2 linked regions of the Rhinolophus ferrumequinum genome follow. The protein of the gene in region 1 purifies or fractionates together with the protein of each later gene. This does not show direct contact. Links are inferred from orthologs where the notes say so. Each region holds a gene or a part of one and is shown in the gene's direction. Other genes may lie near its edges.

The links.
Region 2: the proteins of USP18 (region 1) and STAT2 purify together in Homo sapiens (affinity purification with western blotting; 6 studies listed by BioGRID and IntAct, with this or other methods). This does not show direct contact. The link is inferred for Rhinolophus ferrumequinum from reciprocal best matches to the Homo sapiens genes USP18 and STAT2.

The regions. Positions count from the first base shown.
Region 1 is NC_046293.1:91,640,763-91,647,817, forward strand, and holds the start of USP18 (ubl carboxyl-terminal hydrolase 18), read left to right. Parts: upstream 1-4,040; 5' UTR 4,041-4,138; coding exon of another isoform or gene 4,139-4,142; 5' UTR 4,143-4,241; coding exon 4,242-4,299; intron 4,300-5,336; coding exon 5,337-5,433; intron 5,434-6,413; coding exon 6,414-6,559; intron 6,560-7,055. UniProt on the Homo sapiens protein: Interferon-induced ISG15-specific protease that plays a crucial role for maintaining a proper balance of ISG15-conjugated proteins in cells. Regulates protein ISGylation by efficiently cleaving ISG15 conjugates linked via isopeptide bonds.
Region 2 is NC_046293.1:55,665,966-55,673,900, reverse strand, and holds the start of STAT2 (signal transducer and activator of transcription 2), read left to right. Parts: upstream 1-4,917; 5' UTR 4,918-5,087; intron 5,088-6,776; 5' UTR 6,777-6,789; coding exon 6,790-6,920; intron 6,921-7,086; coding exon 7,087-7,240; intron 7,241-7,558; coding exon 7,559-7,654; intron 7,655-7,827; coding exon 7,828-7,920; intron 7,921-7,935. Other genes in the region: APOF (apolipoprotein F), read left to right, coding at 3,282-4,223. UniProt on the Homo sapiens protein: Signal transducer and activator of transcription that mediates signaling by type I interferons (IFN-alpha and IFN-beta).

The DNA.
Region 1 (7,055 bases):
GTCAATTTTGTTAATCTTTTCAAAGAACTAGCTCTTTGTCACATTAATTTTTTTCTATTGTCTTTTTGTTCTCTATTTCATTTAGTTCTGCTCTGATTTTTGTTATTTCCTTTCTTCTGCTGACCTTGGGTTTCACTCGTTCTTCTTTTTCTAGTTCTTTAAGGTGTAACATGGGTTATTTATTTGTGATTTTTCTTGTTTCTTGTGATAGGCCTGTAATGATATAAATTTCCCTCTTAAAACTGCTTTTGCTGCATCCCAAAAATTTGGGTAGGATGTCTTTTCATTGTCATTTGTTTCTATGTATCTTTTGATCTCTCCTCTAATTTCTTCTTTGACACAGTCGTTCTTTAAATGTATGTTGTTTAATCGCCACGTATTTGTGTTTTTTCCTGCTTTCTTTTTGCAATTGATATCCAATTTCAAAGCCTTGTGATCAGAGAATATGCTTGGTATGATTTCAATCTTCTTTTATTTGCTGAGGCTGATTTTATGTCCCAATATATGGTCTATCCTTAAGAATGTTCCATGCACACCAGAAAAGAATGTATAGTCTGATGTTTTAGGATGAAGTGCTCTATATATGTCAATTATGTCCATTTCATCTAATGTGTCATTTAGGGCTGCTATTTGGTTATTTATTTTCTGTTTGGATGATCTATCCATAGCTGTCAGTGATGTATTTAGGTCCCCTAGTATAATTGTGTTTTGGTCAATTTCTCCCTTTAGTTCTGTTAGTAGTTGCTTGGTATATTTTGGTGCTCCCTGATTGGGGGCATAAATATTGATGACTGTTATGTCTTCTTGTTGTATAGTCCCCTTTACCATTATGTACTGTCCATCTTTGTCTCTTGTTATTTTTTTCACCCTGAAGTCTGTTTCATCTGATATCATTATGGCTACACCTGAATTTCTCTGGGTACCATTTGCTTGGAGTGTCAATTTCCACCCTTTCACTTTGAGTCTATGGTTGTCCTTGTAGCTGAGATGCGTCTCTTGGAGACAGCATATGGTTGGGTTTAGTTTTTTGATCCAGTCTGCTACTCTGTGCCTTTTTATTGGTGAGTTCAGTCCATTTACATTTAGGGTGATTATTGATATGTGAGGATTTCCTGTCATTCTATCTTTAGTTTTCTGGTAAGGCTGTGTCTCCATGGTTTCTTTGCTTTTTTGTTGTTGTCTATTATTTCTGTGTGGTGGTATTCTATGATGTTTCCCTCTGTTTCTTCTTTTATTACAGTATATATTTCAGTTTCGGATTTTTTTTCAGTGGTTACCCTTAAGTTTATGTAACAGAAAGTTTGATATTTAGAGTATTCCATTTTCTTCAGCACACTTACTTTCTCCATTGCCATGTTCCAGTTCAGGCCTTTACTCTCCCCCTTTTTATGTTTTGGTTGCCACAAATTGTCCCTGTTGATGGTGGTCGAATAGCCTCCTTTAGTATTTCTTGTAGTGCAGGTTGTGTATTAGAAAATTCCCTCAGCTTCTGTATGTCTGGAAAGGTCTTTATTCCTTTTTCATATCTAAAGGATATCTTTGCTGGATTTATTATTCTTGGCTTATAATTTCTCTCTTTCAATAGTTTGAATATTTGATTGCACTCCCTCCTGGCTTGTAAAGTGTCTGCTGAAACATCTGATGATAGTCTACTGGGCTTTCCTTTGTAGGTTACCGTCTTCTTTTCCCTGGCCACCTTGAGGATTCTTTATTTGTCGTTGATTTTAGACAGCTTCAATACAATGTGCCTTGGAGAAGGCCTGTGAATACAATGTGCCTTGGAGACTGCCTGTGAATCTGTGTCTGCGGTCCACAGTTCTCAGAACAGCAAATGTTCTGTTCTTTTGATCTGACTACTGCTACCGTTCCACTTCTAGCACCGGGTAGGTGGGGGCGGGGTGAGCTCTGGGAGGGTAGGGAGGGGGCGGCTAGTCTCAGTGCCTAAGGCTTCCGGCTGAGATTTTTTAATCGTAAATGTATACTAGATTTTGTCAAATGCCTTTTCTGTATCTACTGATATGATCATGTAATTTTTTATCCTTCATTGTGTTTATGTCGTATATCACGTTAATTGATGTACAGATATCAAATCAACCTTGCATCCTGGGAATAAATCCCGCTTGATCATGGTGTATGATCTTTTTAATGTATTGTTGAATTTGGTTTATTGATATTTTGTTGAGGATTTTTGCGTCTATGTTCATCAGGGATATTGGCCTATAATTTTCTTTTTTTGTAGTGTCTTTGTCTGGTTTTGGAACCAGGATAATGCTGGCTTCATACAATGAGCTTAGGAGCCTTCCCCTCTCTTGAATTTTTTGGAATAGTTTGAGGAGGATAGGTGTTAGTTCTTCTTTGAATGATTGGTAAAATTTACTTTGAAGCCATCTGGTCCAGGACATTTGCTTGTTGGGAGTTTTTTGACTACTGATTTGATTTTGTTTTTGGTTATCAGTCTGTTCAGATTTTCTGTTTTTCTTTACTCATCTTGGAAGATTCTTTTCTTGTAGGATTTTATCCATTTCTTCCAGATTGTCAATTTGATGGCATATAATTGTTTATAGTATTTTCTTATAATCTTTTGCATTTTTATGTGGTCAGTTGTCACTTCTTTCATTTCAGATTTTATTTATTTGCATGCTCTCTCTTTTTTTTCTTCATAAGTCTGGTTAAAGGTTTATCAATTTTGTTTATCTTTTCAAAGAACCAGCTCTTGTTTTCATTGATCTTTTGTATTTTTGTTTAGGCTCTATTTCATTTATTGCCACTCTCATCTTCATTATACCTTTAGTTCTACTCACTTTGGGCTTGTTTGTTGTTTTTTTACTAGTTTCTTTATGTGTTAGGTTAGATTATTTACTTGAAATTTGTCTTGTTTTTTGGAGTAGGGCTGTATTGCTATGAATTTCCTTCTTAGAACTGCTTTGGTTGTACCCCGTCAATTTTGGGTCATTTTCTCAAAGTATTTTGTGATTTCTTCCTTTATCTCATCGTTAACCCATTCATTTTTTTAGCAGAATGATACTTAGCCTCCATGTGTTTGTGTGTTTTTCAGTTTTTTTCTTGTAATTGATTTTTGATTTCATACCATTGTAGTGGGAGAAGATGCTTGATATGATTTCAGTCTTTTTAAATTTATTGAAACTTGTTTTGTAGCTTAATATGTGGTCTATCCTGGAAGGTGTTCCATGTGTGCTTGAAAAGAAAGTATATTCTGCTGCTTTGGAGTGAAGTGCTCTAATAATATTAATTAAATCCATCTAGTCTAATTATCATTTAAGGCCATTGTTTCCTTGTTCATTTTTGGCCTGAATGATCTATTCGTTGATATTAATGGGAGAAGGAGGACATTTCTATTGGTGCGTTTAAGCTAACACAGTGGGGCTAAATTTAAACTATGTTTTTAATTTGTAGTCCAGGTAATCGGCAGTCCGGCAGTCGGTTAGTTGTAATATCTGCTTTCTTGTTTCTTTGCCAATAGTTCTTTGAGATACAATGTTGCTTTAGGCCCAGTCTGAAGGTTATTTTGCCCAGTTTTAACATTCCAAAGTTTTGACGCTTAAAACATGCAAAGCAGTTCCTCTGGGGTTGCAGCACTGACTCCATTTTAAAGTGGCTCCATTTATGTTATTTGTTTCCACCAGGAAGTTAGGGCATGCATAGCAAGGAAAGTTCTTGTGAGCAGCCTTTAGGCAGTAGAATTTAACAGCCTTCAATGGTTGTTTGGGTCTGGGAGCAAGGACACACTAGGCTTCTGGTCTGAACCTATTGGTGAATGCTGTGCCATTTACTAGAACAGAGAACTTGGAGGGAAGAAGATATGGCAGACTACTCTGATAAAATAAAAATGGAGGCATGTGGGACGAAGGAGAGGGGGTGTCTAGCCTAGTTCTCTTTTCTAGCCCCAGAGCTTTTTGAGTCAGTCTCTCCAAGCATTCATCTCCCTCACAGACTTGGCTGTTTGGAAGTAGAACTGATCACACGAATACTTGTTCTCCTTCTCTTATGCTTAACTGCCTATGGTGTGTTTTCACAGAAGTCCTACCAAGGCTGTCTCATGAGAGCTCTTCCCGGAAGTGGGATCTGCAGTCCTGAAGACTGGTCAGCCAACTGTCTGGAAATTTTGGAGTGATCCCTAATGGGCAAGTGTTTGGGTTCCTGAGAAAATTTGCTAGTCAGTCCTGACTGAGTCTCAGCCGTTCTCCACAGACCCTGTTGAGAAGAAGGAAGAAAACAGCAACATGAAGAAGAAGAGGAGTCAGCTCCCAGAGCGCCTCGCAGCTTGGGACCGCTCTCAGGGTCGTTACCTCCCTCCCACCTTCTCTCCTTGACTGTGTGGAGACGTTTTGCTCACCCACTATACTCTGAAGCTGTAGAGCTTTGTGGCTAATGACTCCTGATCTTTGTGTCTCCATTTCGTCTCCTTTAAATGGGAATAATCATAGTACTGAGCACATAGGATTGTTGGGAAGAATATATGAGATAATCTGTGGGAACTGCTTTAAACCAGTGTTCGGCATATAGTAGCACTCAGCATTAGTTTCTTTTTTTGTTGTTATATCTGTGTGCTAGTATATCTAGAGGCAAGTGGAAATCTGTGATTACCTGCCATACCTGGATTTGCACCTTCTTATTACCCTATCTCTTGTACACCAAAACCTTTTCCCAGGAACCCTAAGATTAGTGTTAATCTTCCCCCTCCTCCACTTAAATAACTCACCTCATGGGGTCTGCAGAGCTAAGTCTGGGTTGGAAAAGGAGAGGTTGGTTGCTAATGGGTCAGAGAGATGCTATCCTTTGGTTTTCTCACCTCGTCATAAGTTCCTTCTGGCTTACAGCCTCTCAAGGCGAGTTTAGATTAGTGGATCTTCCCTAAAGCTTTCGTTTGATTTCTCCAGCCGTATGGTAGGAACTGAGTAGGGACTTTCCACTGCACTGGAGTCTGAAATTCCTTTTACCCCTGAGCCCTTAGTTGCCCATTCTGACTGCAGTCTCTAAGGAACTCGTAATTCTCCCAGTTCCACTTTCTGTAATGTTCCTCTTTTCCTTTGTTCTTAAAACAATTGCTTGTACTATTCATTTAACAATGAGTAACGCAATTTCTTGTGACATCTCTTTGCCTAATGGACTACTAAAACTTGTGTTGCTATTTCACTTTTCAAAGGTTCATGCTTTATGTCTCCTCCTGAATTTGTTGCAAGCTCCTTAGTGAATTCTTTGTACGTCTGAGAGTACTTTACAGGGTTTCATGTCCTTTGTAGAGGCTACAAAAACATGATTTTTGTTAAATCCCTTAGCTCGGCCTTCCCTCAGTGTTTTTTTCTCTTCCTTTATAGGCCCAGTTGGTTTACACAACATTGGACAGACCTGCTGCCTTAACTCCCTAATCCAGGTATTCATTATGAATGTGGGCTTCACCCAGATACTGAAGAGGTAAGACTATCATGCAGGCTAGTAAACATGTATATTACTTTACATTTTTGAATGTTCAGTTAGTCACAGTGACTTGGTTCAGTTAGTCACAGTTCTTTCAAAAGTTGCCAGAGAAAAGTCCTGTCTACACAATCTGGACTACACATTCTAATCATCTAAGAAGTTTTAAAAATTGCCTGGTCCTACACCCAGATATTTGGTTTCAGTTGGTTTAGGGTGCGCTCCAGGCATTGGTATTTTTTAAAAGATGCCCGAAGTGATTGAAAACTGCAGTCAGGATTGACAGCCACTGATTTGATTAAAAGGAAGTTGGGACTAGACCAATGTCAAAGGAGGAGTAAACCAGTGTGTAGGTGCATGAGTCTATTGATTTTTCTCAAACAAAACACACACACCCACACCCACGCACACACTTAAAAATCACTGGTGTGTGTGTGCATGTATGTATTTTATCATACATTCTTTTCTGCCCTGTGCTTTCTGTTTTTTCCCTTCCACTGGCATGGGCAATTGAAAGATGCCTGTAATTAAATAAATCATTGCCAAAAGGCACTGACATCCCTCCCTGTTCCCCTTTGTTCCCAAGACCTGGATGAGTGCTGCTTTTTCATTTTGGAGAGCTTCAGAGTGGGCATGGTGCTGCTTGGCCACTTTGCTGTGGGCCCAGGACCTACTGCATCTGCTCTTCATTTTAGTGTGACTGTCGGGCAGGGTGGGGAGAGAGGCGAGGCAGCGGTTGTGCTGACCCCCTCTCAGCAGGGTTCTCTCTGTAGCTGATTTGCTTATATGGTGTTTCTCCACCTTGTCCGTGCAGTTAAATCATCCAGGAAACTTAAAAATTCTGTCCCACCCTCAGAAATTCTGATTTAGTGTGAAGAGTGGCCTGCACATGGAGATTTTGAAAGTTCCCTCGAGTTGATTCCCGTATGCACTTAACATTGAGAAGAATAAGGAGGTTCGTGGTTGTTCTTATTTGGCAGGATAACAGTGCCAAGGGGAGTAGAAGAGCAGAGGAGAAGTGTCCCCTTCCAGCTGCTCTTGCTGCTGGAGAAGATGCAGGACAGCCGGCAGAAAGCAGTGCGACCCATGGAGCTTGTCTCCTGTCTCCAGAAGTACGATGTACCATGTAAGACAGTCCTCCTAGCGCTGGCTCCTGATCCAGTTCTCTTAAGGAGGTGGGAGGTTGGAAGAGGGGGGAGGAAGGTGAGAGGAGAGGGCCAGGGGAGGGATTAATGTCATGAGTGAACAAGGACGTTAGGTAGACTGTGGACCCCTTATATGAGAAGCATTTATGTAGATCTGAAATATTTTTAAAAGCCTACATTTTTACAGGCACAGAATTGGTATTATTTATGCATATGTTATTTTCACACTCACTGTTTTTCTGTCTCTCAGAATAAGTAAGCCTAAGAGTCCTCAGAGCTAATTCAGCTACAGATAAAGAATTCCAGGAAAACAGAATAAAGGATTAATAAGGAGAAACCATATTCTGCATAAGAAAATTAGTTAGTTTAAAAAAACCTGTTTTATTGAGATCTACATCACATAACCATAAAATTGACCCACTTAAAAATGTACAATTCAGAGGGTTTTAGTATATTCACAGAGTGCAGGTCAGTGAC
Region 2 (7,935 bases), about 36 Mb from region 1:
ATTCTTGGTATTACATGATAATGTCACGAGGTGTTATGGAATGAATTGTGTACCCCTCAAAATTCATGGGTTGAAGCCCTAACCCCCACTGTGACTGTATTTGGAGAGAGGGCCTTTAAGGAGGTAATTAGGGTTAAATAAGGTCATAAAAGTGGGACCCTAATGGAACTGGTGTCCTACAAGAAGTAGAAGAGCCCCTAGGAGTGCATATGTACAGGGGAAGGCCAGGTGAGGGTATAGCGAGAAGGCAGCCTGCAAGGCGAGGAGAGAGGTCTCAGAACTAACCAAACCTGCCAACAACATCTTGATTTTGGACTTCTGGTCTCCTGACTGAGAAAAATTCCTGTTGCTTAAATGACCCATTCTGTGGGATTTTGTTACGACAACTCTGGCAGACTAATACATTAAATACGGGGGTGGTTTTTCATCTATTTTCTGGTATACTCTGAGTCCACTCAATCTGAAATTTTTTTTCTTTTTCATTCTAAAAAAACAACTCATACATAAAAAAAAACATTTACTTCCTTTTTGTAGTTTAGTTTTTTAATTGTGGTAAACAACAACATGTAACATAAAATTTACCATCTTAACCTTTTCAGAGTGTACAGTTCAGTAGTGTTAAGCATATTCACGTTGTGCAACCCATTTCAAGAAATGTTTCATCTTGCAAAACTAAAACTCTATACCCGTTAAACAACTCTCTATTTCCTCCTCCCCTCAGCTCCTGGTAACTTTCTGTTTCAATGAATTTGACTACTCTAGATCGCCTCACTGCAATTTCCTTGTTATCACTGACTGACACTCCTGCAGCAGCTGCCCTGCTAGTCTTTCTCCAATCTCTCCTTCTCTTAAGTCCACCCAAGCTGTCCCCTGAGTTATCTTTCTAAAATATAGTTTTGATTATATCACTCCCCTGTCCAGAGCACTTGATGGTTCCCCACTGTTTGTAGGACAGAGTCCAGAGCCTCTGCGTGGTGTGCCTGACCTCGGCCAGTCTTTGCAGCCTTACGGCCACCCCACCCACACACCTACCTTACATCGTCATCATCCTCATCTTGGACTACTTTCTATCCTCCAAAATCAGGCTTTTTCATGCCTCTAAATGGTCAATCATGTCAGTACCTCTATTGGAAGGCTCCAACCACATAAACACACACACACATAACACCCTGCCTGTCTTCATGAGGAGCCTTTACCTTCACGAGTCAGCTCAATTGTCACCTCTTTTGAGGTGCTCTAGAGGCAATACTAAGGTCATTCTGAGGGATCTGGGAGGACCTGCAGGGGAGCTTGGATAAATCCAACACTCAGTTCCTCACCCTGAGGAATGTATATTGATGGCGGTGAATACGACCACGGGGGTGGCTGATCTAGCAATTAGCGCAGATGGTAATTGAATTTGCTGAGAAGCCGTGTTGCTGGTGAAACAATTCAAAGCTTTTACTGTCAACATCCCCTAGAACTTCAGATATGAGTCTTGGGTGTCACGTCCAGAGCAACAAGGGCAGTGAGGGTGTGAGAAGGGGAGGTTTGGGTTAAGTTTCTAAGAAACAAGCAGAGAATTAATGCAGGTAAATTTCTCAGAAGGCCAGGGGTCTCTCAGTCTCAGAGAACTGGATCCCAGAATAAGGCTGACTGAAGGCTTTTATTGATAGGTATACAAATACAAGAAAGTAACATTGTTTCTTACACGGTCTGTGAGACTCATACATCATAGCAGAAAAATGTTTATTCCAATCACCCTTTGTCTATAAACAGCCGAAGCACAAGGTCCCATGATGTCCTACCTAAGGTATGTACCTTTTCAGGGTCAAGTCTCTCATTGTAACAGCTCAGTTGAGATAAGTGGAGAGAACTGATCTTTATTGTCTTCATGATTTCTCTTACAAACAGGTGCAAGGGAAAAGCCAGAGCGGGCAACAGACTTTCCCAGGCAGGGGGAAGGGGAGGCAAGGCCCCTTTCCATATTTCTCTAAGGCAGCTCATTAGGGGTCCCCACTCGGTTCCGCCTGGCTTAGGTTGTATCTCCCATGAGATATCTTACCCGTCTTTGGCTGCAAACCATCTTTTGGGGACCAGACAGAGAGACATAAGGTGTAAACACAAGGATGGAACAGAGTCCCAGAAAGGCACAGTCTCACAGACTCTTCTTTCCTTAAGGAAAGACATGGGGGGACAGTTGGCTAGGTGCTGTGTGACTACACTTGGGAACATATTGAGTTAGGCAAAAAGCTAAAGAAAACCCAAGTTAAGAGCGTCTCAGTTTCTGTGGATGATGACAATATAATTTATCAAATGTTCCACACTTATCTGAGGTTCTTTATGGGGAAATTGATTCAGGAATTTATCCAGGTTCACTTTAGATATTCAATGCCACCTAGGCAACAAGTCTCCTTTCCCAGGACTATGATCAAGAATGGGAATATGGGAAGTAGTTAGAAATGTTGGAGGCCACTTAGGTCAAAAGCATGTTCTGTATTTCATCCCAGTGCTAAGACACGCATGCAACTGGTATTAGCCTTGCCCCTTTCCACTTAGTAGTTCTCAGTCCCCGTTTCTTATTCCATTTTCCCTTTTCTTTCTTTCAGTTATCATATACTGCACATGTAATATGTTCTAAGCATGAGCGGTATTTTAACCTTTTCTCATTCATCTACCTTGTATTAAAACCCCAACAAGACGCTATATCTTGCTAATTTAAACTGAAAAGAGAAATTTAAAAAGAGCAAATAATAAACATCTAATCTCTTCTCTTTTTGAGTTTCTCAGATCCTCTCATGAGCTAGAGTGAGCACTTGGCAGGACCTGTGGGAAATGCCAAAGAACAAGATCTTAGGTTTTGAGGTCAAGTGTGTGACAAGGGGACAAGGTCTGAGCAGCCAATACAAACGGACAAATATTTGCAGAGATTACATCTCTTACAGATCATTGTGGAAAACAAATATCTTTCCCCTATAGGACAGAGAAGTGGGGAGCACGGGATTGAGCAGCTACCAAACCTATCAACGCAGTCTCACTTCTCAATGACTGGACTGTGTAGCAATTTGGGACCCCCTATAAATGGGTGGAAATACAGCAGGGGAAGTCCCAGGTAACCTGAAGATGGAGAAGGCCAGTGGGAACAACTGGGTTGCATTTCCTGTCCCTTAGGCCTTTACCTGAAAAGAGCAGAAGCCTAAAGGTGATGGATGAGGTGTGCCCTGAGTCCTGGGCTCCTTTCAGACTACATCCCTAATGGATGTTTCTGGTTTTCCCCCTTTTCAGCGTACTCTGGTCCAGACATGGGTGTCCTCAGACACATCATGATACCAGCTGAGCTGCTTCTTTGCTACTTCCTGCTGCACACTGTGGATGCCATTTCATATGGAAACCAGACAAATATCCTGATGCACCTTCCTTCATCCTTGGAATCCTGGCCACCTTCCTCAGACCCCTTTTCCTGCCAGATCCTAGTCCCAAAATCCCTGCCTGGCTATACGCACATGGCCCGTCTACCCAAGTTCCTGATAGGCCTGCCACTGATGATTGCACTGAAGGAAGCTGGCTGCCATGCTGATGTACAGGCCCTGCAGCTTCAGCTTTACCGCCTGGGGGGTGTAAATGCCACACAGATCCTCTTCCGACATCTTCAAGAGCTGGAGAAAGGCAGAAGCACAGGGAGGGGAGTGTCAGTGGATGCCCTGGCCTCTGCTTTGCAGCTGTTGGCCAAGGAGCAGCAAGGCCCAGAGAGGGCCCGACGCTCCCTCCCCATCGAGGACTGCAAAAATGAGCAGGAGCAGAGTGTGCACAATATAGTCCAGTGGTTGCCAGGAGTGGGCACCTTCTACAACCTGGGCACAGCTTTGTATTATGCTGCTCAGAACTGCTTGGAAGAGGCCAAGCAACGAGGCCAAGATGGGGCCATAGATATAGGTTATGACCTTCTGATGACCATGGCTGGAATGTCAGGGGGGCCCGTGGGAGTAGTGGTCAGCACTGCCCTTAAACCTGCAGTGAAGGCTGGGGTTCAACAGTTGATCCACTATTACCAGGAGAAAGAAGCAAACATCCCTCCAGAGACCAGCGAGGAAGGCTTGGACAGCACCTCAAATATGAGTGACATGGCAGAAACAACTGCCATTGCCCCTTTGGTGTCAGAAGTAGTAGATTCAACTCCTTATTGGGGGTGGCCCGTCTTCAAGAACTATAACATAGATCCTGGGAATGGGAATTTTGGTATATAAAAGGTGTGAAACACTGAATGAATAAATCAAATATTCTGACAGGCTATATGTGTGTGTTCAGAGTCTAAATATCTGATTTGTTATAGAAGGCAGTGCTGTAAAATGCAGGAATTTTGAAGTTTGGGGTTTGGAGTCAGAGGGTTTGGTTTGAATCCAAGCTCCACTTGTTAAAGCCTCAGTGATCACTGACTAGTAACTTAACTTCTTTCTCCAGGCTCAGTTTTTAAAATTTCTAAAGTGGAGATAATGAGTTTCACCTCAGTGTGGTTTGTGGAAATCATAAACGATGCAATGAACCTAACGTGCTTACTTAGCACAGTACCATCAATAAACAGTTTTTATTTTGGTATTACATCAGCCTTCCCCTTCCTATCCCAAAGTTTCGAAATTCCGGTCCCACCTCTTCTGAAGGAGCCCTAAGTGCTTCCACGGTCCCGATCTAGTCTCGGTTCCGCGGCTGTAGAGCGGGTTCTCGGAAATCAGCTGTTCGAGTCCTGAGCTATTCCATGAATTGGACTCCCCCCTCCGCAGTTAGCGCGCAGGAGGGGCTTACTTGAGCTGTCCCACCAATCGCTGGAGCTGGAGCTGTGGCTTCCGCTCTGCTTGTCCGCCCCGCGGAGAGGCAGGCGTTGTGGCGGCACCAATGAGCTCACAGCCTGAAGAGCCAGTGTAGGGGTGCGGGGCTGGGAAGGGCGACCTCAGAGGTTCAGGAACCCACTGAAGCCCGCGGCAAGGGGGCGGGCCCGAGGGGCGGGACGAAGCCCAGGGCGGGGCGGGAGACGCTGTTGCGGTAGCTCCGTCTGGGGAACCGAAGCCTAGAGCGGAGCCACTGGAGGGATCGAGGACTGAGACCCTAACAACCAGGTACTGGCCCTGAGAGGGCGCGCGGGGGTTGGGGATGGAGGCGCGAGTTCCTCCCTGGGAAGGGTGGCAGACCCCGGGGGCTACGCCCCGTGGTGGTCAACCTGTATCCCCCGGATGAAATAGCGGTCGCCTGCTGCATCCTGGATCAACCCCCCCTCCACTCCAGCCTAGCTCCCCAATCCTAATGCCCTCCTCCCAGAACTCCCTGGACTCGGAACTTGGCATTGTTACATTGATTCAGTGTCTTAGCCATTTACCCTCTAGTCTGTGTAATTGTTGATCTTCATAAACACAAAAATAATCAATGTCTAAGGGTAGGTACAGTTTATTATCTTTATTTGTTATGTTAAAAAGCATAAGACGCAGAAAGGTGAAACTATTTGCTTAAGGTCACATCCAACATGAAGTGTATTTCAGAACAGCTTTTCGAACACAAAATAGTATGTGCCTAAGAGAGTGAGGATAACTGGAGAGGAACGTGTTGAGCCTTAACCTCAAGTGTTTGCAGTCCATTTAAGACCAGATTTGTTTCTTTCGTTGTTTGTTTGTTTTTACATTTAAAACTCAGGGTTTACTTGCTGCCTTACTCTTTTAATACCAGCCCACTAGTTCCTTAAGAACTAGGGCCTCGTCATTTTTTAAAAAAAGCAATACAGGTACATAGTTATAAAAATCAAGCGCTACTCAAAGGGTTAAATTGAAAAATAAGAGCCCCTGCCCAATCCTTTCCTTCCCCTGTTCCTACTTACCAGGGATAGAAAGGCAGGCAGCTCATAATTATTCATACTTTTGGAAAAGAACCTCTCTCATCCCAAACATTTTTCTTTGATTTCTAATAAAATCATGTGACTTTTTTTAGACCACAGATGTACTGTTTATTCTTTTCCGTTAGGCCCAGGCTGCAACAAGAATAAGTTTTCGTTTCCTAAATAGATAGATGGCAGTGGGCGGGGCAAGGTAGGGAGAAGGATTCTCTGCCCAGCCTACTTGGTGACAGGAAAAAACAGTTTTGAGTGAAATTCCTGGGTCTCTTGCAAAGTTGATAATCCATGAGCAGAATCAGAGATCAACAGAGGTTATAACAGTGTCACAACCTTAGGGATTGAGTGACTCCTTGCACAGCATTTAAACATCTCCTAGAATACAGCTTCTCCTTCCTACATGGAGAGCAGTTTATAGGGTGTACCTAAGTCCCCAATAAAGCTTTGGGGCCAGCAAGGATGATGCTGAAATAAATACTTAATGACTCACACTGGCTTTTAAATGCTCCAACATAAACGAATACAAACACAAGCAAATTTATTGGGAGAGATAGATGAAATAAAAATGATAGAAATATCATTAATGTTTGTTGAAGATTAATAATGAGTACATGGATGATTCTTGTACTATTCACTCTACTTTGGTGTATGTTTAGAAATTACAATTAAAACAAAAAGACCCACATATTGGAGCTCTTAAATAGTACACCCTGGACGAATATATACCAAACTAATAATTTTGGTTACTTCTGGAGAGGAGGGGAAGAGACCAGGATTGGGAGTGGGATCAATCTAGACACCCCCTTTTTTTTCTGTATCTTTTCTTACCTGTATAATTTTAAAATGTTCAATTTTAATAATAAACAATCATAAGACTGTGGATGATTTAGTCCAGTCAAATTTCCAATTGGGAACCTGAATCCTTCAGACTCGGAACCCAAATGGCACAATGGGAGAAGCTGCAGAATCTCGACAGCCCATTTCAAGATCTTCTGCACCAGCTCTACACAAATAGCCTCCTGCCAGTGGATATTCGACAGTACTTGGCTGTATGGATTGAAGATCAGAACTGGTGAGGCCCTCAGAAAGTTGGGAGTGTGGTGAGGGAGGTGAGGAAAGTGGTTTCATTCTTCAGAGCCCCCGGATCCTGGAGACACCAAGGGCCTGAAGGGGTTGGGAGGCCTCAAGACAATAGCAACCCTGCAGAGATACTAATCTTGGTCATTCCTGTTCCCCAGGCAGGAAGCTGCAATGGGCAACGATGATTCCAAGGCTAACATGCTATTCTTCCACTTCTTGGATCAACTGAGCTATGAGTGTGGCCGCTGCAGCCAGGACCCTGAGTGCTTGTTGCTACAGCACAACTTGCGAAAATTCTATCGGGACATTCAGGTATTTGGAGGAGCTGGGTATAACAAAGTAGGAATAGGAGCTGAGTGTAGCGGAATACAGTTTAGGGTATGGGATAGGACCTAGAGGTGCAAAGGGACAGGGGCAGATCAGGGGAAAGGGGGACAGAGTTTGGACTTGAAGGATCACTGGCAGAGAGAAGGGCAGTGTTTAGATGGGAAGAGGCTAGAATCTGGGGACCTGTGGTGAAAAGGGGACGAGCTAGGGACCCTGAAAGAGGGGAAAGTACTGGGGTCACTGGTGGGAAGGTTCATTGAAGGCAGGTGAGTTCAATCAATTCTTTCTCTTTTCCTACTGCAGGCCTTTCCCCAGGGCCCCACCCAATTGGCTGCGATGATCTTTAACCTCCTTCTGGAAGAGAAAAGAATTCTGATCCAGGCTCAGAGAGCTCAGTTGGTGAGAACAATTTGGTGGTGATACTGAAAGTTCGTGGAGTAGAGACGGACCATGGAAAGAACTCAGGAAATTTATCTCAGAATAAGATCCCCCATAGCCTGTGGTTTAATTTCAGGCCTGGATTTCAGGGATGCAAGGTCAGAGTTGAATGTACTCAGAGCCTCTTATTTCAGGAGCAAGGCGAGCCAGCTCTTGAAGCACCTGTGGAGAGCCAGCAGCAGCATGAGATTGAATCCCGGATTCTGGAATTAAGGGCTATGATGGAGGTTGGTAGATGTGGC